2 linked regions of the Coturnix japonica genome follow. The protein of the gene in region 1 purifies or fractionates together with the protein of each later gene. This does not show direct contact. Links are inferred from orthologs where the notes say so. Each region holds a gene or a part of one and is shown on either strand. Other genes may lie near its edges.

Region 1 (3,500 bases):
ATATTGCGTGTCTTTGTAGTCTGTCTTGATTTCTTCCCTTGAGCAGATCCTTTGCCCAGTGGGCGCCAGGAAAATGTCTTACAAGTATTGTTTTTTTCTCTGTTCCTTCTGTTGCTGCTTAAATAACTAAGTTGCCCATATAGATCTTGTATGGTGGATTACAAGTGGTAGTAACAGAAGTGTATGGTTTTGCTACTACTACAGGAAAGCAAAAGGAAGCTTACTCTGCTCTAACTTTTGTTAGTTTGAGAGAATATTTAATAACTATTGAGGACACAATAAGTAAGAAGAAATGTCCATTATTCTGTAATGTCTGGGGCTACGTTTATATTTGAATGTACACATTACTTTATTTAAAACAAAACAACAACAGAAAACAGACCCTAGAATATGCAGAAAACAGCCCTAGAATATGCAGCATGGTTTTTTGGTGGGTAGAGGGTTTTTTTTTATAAAATTATGGTTTTTTTCAGCAGTCTTTGCACGTCTTCTGAACAGTTCTTCAGAGCTGAGGCCTTTTTGGTAGAGTTGAGAATTTCCCTTTTTGGAGGGGATTAATGGCACTGTGTTTGTTTAATGGCTTTAAAATAAGATCCAGTGAGAGAAACAGGAATAGCAATGAAATGTCTGCATCGTTAGGTGAATGAGCCAGTCTGCATCTCTAACCCTTTAATTTTATGAGTTACTTTATACCATATAAAATATTATTCTGCTAGCAAAGAATGTTTTTAAGGATCTAGATGGTCTTTTCAGTTTCCTGGAGCTCTCCAGCCCAGTGCCATTTCTTTTCCTGTAACATTTGATCACTTCTCAGTTTTGTTACCACTCTCCAAATATCTTCCTATTCTGGATAAACAGGTGAGACAAATTACTGGGCTACTATAAAGCTTTCAGCGCTTCTCAGGCAGCCAACAGGCTTAAAATAGAACTCTGACTTCAACCACAGAGAAGAACTGAAGTACGATTCGGCTGTTTAGGATGAGTCAAGTTCTTCTGCAGGTTGCACAGGGGTTACCCATAATTTGACACCTACTTGAGATATGCTGAGCGATACGGTGATACCAGAAGTGTGGTCAAAGTGAGGAAAAGTCATAAGAACTCCATTTTCTCTCTTAAGTTACCTGAGTTTCAGACTATTAAGAGTGATGGAGTCTGGCCTTCTAAGCTACTGCTCAGCTGTGCATTTGGTTTCCATTTCTGGTTCTGTATATGTTTAATGGTAATGTGATAAATGCTTGTGCAGTTTTTCATTGGATGGTGTGATTTGTTTATATACTACAGTACCTTTTCGATGTGTCTTATTATACTATCCTGTTTAATATTAAATTATTCCAGTGGAAAGAGGCAAAGCCGGAGGAACTCATGGATTCAAAACTTAGGTGTGTGTTTGAGCTACCGACGGAAAATGATAAGCCTGTGAGTATTTTTAGCTGCATATCAAGTGACTTTAATGCCTCGGTAAATCATGTAAAATGGCATGTGTGTCCAGGCAGCCATGGAAGCAACAGGCAGAGCACTCTGCTTTGCTGCCTACATCACGTCCTCTTAAAATATAAAATAAAACCATTTTAAATCCTAGCGATGCTTTACATTGCTAGCGGCTAATTTGAACCTTGTAAGTGCATTGGAAGCACAAGGAAATCTTTGAGTTGTTCTTTCTTTGTTGAGTAAATGATCGCATAGGATAAAAATGTTATTTTTAAACAAAGCACTGATTGGTATTGATAAAGCTGAGAGCTTCTCTGTTGAGGGATGTGATGAGGAAAGAAATCTGAATTAGGTGGGAATTAACAGCTGTTCTGTTTGGGGGTAACTTTTTCTATAATCTATAAAAATTATCAGGAGAAAACAAAGCAGGTATAGTAACAAGTTCCTGATAACTTATAAATGAAAGCTTCATTTTAAGAGATGGGTAGAAATTTGGGTGAGGAATGAGCATTTTGTTTTTGTTAGAGCCCAGCCCTTTGCACAACAGAGGGAGGATTCAAATCCAAGAGAAGCAGTGGGCTTTGGAGCTCTGCAGCCTTTGTTTCCTGACTTGGGCTGGGAGTTCCTCTTCGCCACAGGAAAACAAGAGGATGGAGATGTGATAACCAGTGGGGGGAAGGATGAGAGAACTGCAGCAGAGCAGCTGGGTGGTTCCTGACAACATGCTGCTTCTTGGAGCAGCTGCTTGTGTTGTGCTTGGAGAGGGAAAGGTGTGGAAAGCACCACGACTCCAAGCAGAACGTCAGCAGATAAGTCACATTTCTGATACTGTGGGACGTGGTCTGATGGCATTTCCGCTCATATATGTGCAAGGACTGAAAACAAGGGGTCCTTTTGTCAGCACTTACTGCTGCAGATCAGGTCAGGAAGGGGAAATAAGGGTTGAAGATAGAAAAAGGTTGTTTACTTCTTTTGATACAGGCACATTTTGAGTAGAACAGGAGATCTTACTCGATTCTCCTCATGAGTATCAGATGTGGTGTTAATAACTAACCAGAAGTCATTCTTTTTTTTAACAGCATGACATAGAAATAAACAAAATTGTATCCACAACTGCAACAAAGACAGATTCCTCTGTAATGTCTAAATCAATAAGCTCTTCCTTGGATGACGCTGAAGTTAAGAAAATAATGGAAGAATATAAGAGGCTGCAAGTAGAAGTTCAGAGGTTACGGGAGGAGAATAAACAGTTTAAGGTAAAGATTCCTTCTTTTCCATGTTTACTTCTCTCCTGACATAAAAGATTCAGACTGAAAGGCTTGTTTGCTTATCCTTGGCACAATATTTTAATGTTGTCAATCAACATATATAAAGCCAGAAAAAAAAAGTGTGGAAATCAATGGTTCCTCTGAAAGGAACTCGCAGCTCATGCAGTTGGAGAAGCTGATGGGATAGCAACCCAAAGGAATGAATCCCCACTCATTTTTATTTCTTTTTCCCCCACCTCATTTCCTGAGTCTGGATTAAGCATTCAGTGTTGGATTTGGCCCTGTGCTCTCTGACTGATGGGAGTTTGAGGGCAGCTTTGTGCCAATGCTACGTGTTAGTCATGACGCCTCTAGCTCATAGTTGACATGACTGAAGTAGCACAAGAAATGCATTTCTGGTCATACCCAGCATGTGACTGCGAAATCAAACAGGTGAGAAAATTATCACCAAGCTGGGGACCTGTTTGGGTTTCATTTATTATAGATATTTAGTTTCAGAGGTATCAGCACTGGTAGGAAATGCAGCATTTGTTAATGCTGGGCCCTAATGAAAGGAACTCTGTTCTGTCAGCTCTGATGTTGTGTGGCTGGTTGATGCACGTTGAAATTCTTTGAAGCTCTATGAAACATTTGTGTTTTACTCATAGAAGTAACGTGTGTGTGTAGCAGAGACACAAGCTTAACTTCTTATGTCCTGGTCCTTCTTGTGTCTCCCAGTACAATAAATGCTCTACGAGTGTGTTTCATTTATGTGCTGGTTTCAGCTGGGACAGAATAAAGATGCTGTACAGGAGATGGCTAGAA
Region 2 (3,500 bases), on another chromosome or scaffold:
AAATTTCAGAGAAATATTTCTCTGTAGTGGGAATGGGCAATGCATTCTTAATCTTTTGTGGATATTTGAGATGTGGATTAGTTCCACAGCTAAGACTTGTTAAGTGTACACTGCTACTACTATGCTTATTGTAGTTTTACTTATGGGCTTTTTCGCTTTTAGGAGCTGTAGCACTGAAGAATCTTGAAATAAAAGAAAACGCACTGGTAAGACAATGAAAGCAAAGACACAAATTGTTGCAAAAAAAATATTGTAGGGCACTTTTTGGTTGATTTTTTTCTTTCTGGTTCTTACTTTAGGATGTGCATCCATGTTTTTGGTGTTGTGTTCCTCCCCCCCCCCATTCCCCCACTAATGTTATCTAGTGAATTTGGTATTAAGTTTAAGATGAACACATATATTTACTGACTTCAATTAGCATATTTTGCAAAAAGAAAACTCGTATAGGAGTGTGTTTAAATAAATAATAATTTTAAAAAAAAGTACTGGAAGCTATATATATATTAATTTTTTTTCTATAGTATATGGAGTAGAAATTTGCCCTGAAGAATGTGCATGGCGTAACAGTCTAAACAAGAAACTCATTGTTTTTGCATTCTGCTATATTTAATATATTGGTCTTATTTATTTATTTATTTGGGGTGTGTGTGTGGTTTGTTTTTTTTCCTTCAATGGTTAAGTGGTATATTTGTTGTTAAGTTTATCTGTCTTCTATTCCTATTTGACAATATTTCACAAGTTGCTGAAATACTTTAAAATGCTTTGTTTCAGAGTCAGCTGGATGTGCCATTTAAAGTTAAAGCAGGACATATTGGTAAGTTACATTTTGTAATTAATTCCTGCAGGAATTACTGAACATACCCTTTTTATTTGCAGGTGGCTTTAGGCATTGCAAGCAAGTAGTTTTCTTGATTTTCATACTTCGAGCATTCTTTTTCCCTTGAGTTAAAATGAAGTTAAAATGTATGTGGTCTTGTTTAGTCTTATCAACATTAACAAAAAATGAACACAGTGTAGCAAAAGATGAAGCTGATAGAAATGTGTCTCATCCGTTGTTTCAGTAAGATTCATCTCTGATTTCGCCACCTCCTTCCCTTTGTCTTTTCCCTTTTATGAAATACATTTCTCACTGCTAAGTGACTGCATTTTAAAAGTGAATGATTTCTTAAAATGAACTAAGTCTAAAGCCACGTTTCCCTTAGACTTCCTCTGGAAATAATTTTTGTGTGTGTGACTAACTTCATATTTTATTAAAAATGGCACCTATATGAAGAATGAGGGATGCTGTAATGTTGGGATCATCATGCTCACAGACATGTGTGCACTATTAAACACTCTCCTTCATGAAAATATTTTTAAAAAATATTTTAAAAATTCTAGTTTTGGCAGTGTTTAAGTGACTGAAAATGTGTGAGTTGTCCTATTCTGTGGGTGTGTGAGAGCATCCTATAGTGGATTGGGAAGGAAGGGGAGATTGTTGTGAAGAGTGAATATAGTTCAAGAGAGTAAGGAGAAGAATTACATGTTTGTCTCATGCAGAAAACTTGTTGAATGTTATCTGCGTACTACTTCAGACAGATGATCCAAAGGAAATCCACTTCAGATGCACTGCTTTTTCTGTTCAAAAAAGTTTAGAGCTTTTGTAGTTAATGCCAATTATCTTTTTAATAATTAATAACTTTTTTCTCTTGTCTGCAGTTTGACTGCATAGCTCAGCGTTTTTCTTTTGTATTTGTAGGTCAACTTAACCTTCAGATTCCATGGCAAAACCTTTATACTCAACCTGTTGAGGCAGTTCTTGATGGAGTTTATTTGCTTATTGTGCCCACAGCCAGTAAGTTAATATAGAGGGGGAAAAAAAAAGCGTGGATGGAATTTCAGAAGTTGCTGTAGTTGGTTGATATTGCTTTCATGAGCTTTATTTCCGGTACACACTGGGTAAATGTCAGTGGAGTAACCTTCAGAAGTTTAGATTTAGTCAAATAATTTTTTGTTGTTATAGAGTCACAAACAAAGTGTGAAAAAAATTATTTTGTAAAAATATCAAAACACATAAAGATTTTTGTATCTCACCTTTTAATATTGTGTATTTAGGCATAAAATATGATGCCGAAAAAGAGGCTAAGCAGCTCATGGAGGCAAGGCAAAGGGAACTGCAAAGGATAGAGGAAGCAAAGCAGAAAATAGCTGACCAAGGTAAGAGTGAGAGCTAATTACAGTATTGCTACTTTTATTTTTTAATTCAGAAAGATGTTGGATTTCTCACTTAGTGTTCTAGACTTTTTGTTTTGTCTCAATATTTAAACTACAATTACAGGTCTTTATTTTCATTTAGGAAGGTTTGTGTTTTTGGATTTGTCTTGAGTACTATTTGACTTAGCTGTTAGCTGTTGAATATTTTGTGTGAAATAGTGTTCATCTTTGGAAATCCGACACTGTCTTGAAATTTGAATATGTAGGTTGCATTGGTACTGCAAAATGTTCCTCCTGGAAAAATGAGATGGTTGCCATCTCATACTTACATACTTTTGAATCACGTGTATCATATCATAGGCTGAAACTTTGTAGGCTGAGGATGTAAATGTTACATGTCATACTGAGAGATAATGTTTTTAAGAAATGAGTGTACAGAGTAATATAAAATTTAAGCATTTGTCAAATTAATTTTATTAAATTCTTTTCTTTTTTTTTTTAAACTTAGATAAAGTGAAAGAAGAGAAACAAGACACTTTTGTAGAAAAACTAGTCACTCAGGTCATCAAAAATCTTCAAGTGAAAATTTCCAACATCCACATTCGCTATGAGGATGATGTAAGTGATTTTGTCTATCATAAGATAAGGGGATATGAACAACTATAGTAAATGAGGAGCTTTTAATTTTTTTTCCCTGTTATTTTGTATGTTGACAGAATACTGTTAAGGGTTTTTAAGTTTCATGGTCTTAAAGTAAAGCATGAAAATTAATAAAAAGCTTGTACCAAGGCATGAAGATACATGTGTGTGTGTTTTTACTGTTGTCTGTCTATTTTCAAGTATAAATGTTAAGCACAATATAATCTTCTTTTGGTATTGCCCTCACTTCGTCAGATCACAAATCGAAGTAACCCCTTGTCATTTGGGATTTCACTTCAGAACCTAAGTTTGCAGGTAATATTATTTTTCATCTAAAAACCATGTTGATGCATAGGTTAAGGAGATGTATATGATGTAGGTTATGTTAATGTAAGTTTTTATATCTGGCAACATATAGTCTAATGGATGAATTCTCATCATGGGCTAAACACAATGGTATTTGGTTTAAAATTATTTGGTTTATCAAATCAAGCACAAATTTTGGAGTGGAGATATTGCGATTAAAGATTAAATCCTGGCTCTTGAACAGACATCTGGGAGGAAATTTTTATTCTGCCTTTGCAATCTGTGGTTGCAAGTCATCAGACTTTTCTAAATTTGTGCTGTTTGTAATCTATGGGTGTTTTATTGAAATTGGCATAAGCCCC

What was found. Proteins that work in one complex are often made in the same cells at the same time.
Region 2: the proteins of VAPB (region 1) and VPS13A purify together in Homo sapiens (affinity purification with mass spectrometry; 3 studies listed by BioGRID and IntAct, counting the BioPlex papers as one, with this or other methods). This does not show direct contact. The link is inferred for Coturnix japonica from reciprocal best matches to the Homo sapiens genes VAPB and VPS13A.

What each region holds. Positions count from the first base shown.
Region 1 is NC_029535.1:10,102,600-10,106,099, reverse strand, and holds part of VAPB (vesicle-associated membrane protein-associated protein B/C), read left to right. Parts: intron 1-1,335; coding exon 1,336-1,416; intron 1,417-2,507; coding exon 2,508-2,684; intron 2,685-3,500. UniProt on the Homo sapiens protein: Endoplasmic reticulum (ER)-anchored protein that mediates the formation of contact sites between the ER and endosomes via interaction with FFAT motif-containing proteins such as STARD3 or WDR44.
Region 2 is NC_029547.1:33,864,697-33,868,196, forward strand, and holds part of VPS13A (vacuolar protein sorting-associated protein 13A), read left to right. Parts: intron 1-162; coding exon 163-206; intron 207-771; coding exon 772-814; intron 815-1,738; coding exon 1,739-1,834; intron 1,835-2,094; coding exon 2,095-2,196; intron 2,197-2,701; coding exon 2,702-2,811; intron 2,812-3,087; coding exon 3,088-3,147; intron 3,148-3,500. UniProt on the Homo sapiens protein: Mediates the transfer of lipids between membranes at organelle contact sites. Binds phospholipids. Required for the formation or stabilization of ER-mitochondria contact sites which enable transfer of lipids between the ER and mitochondria.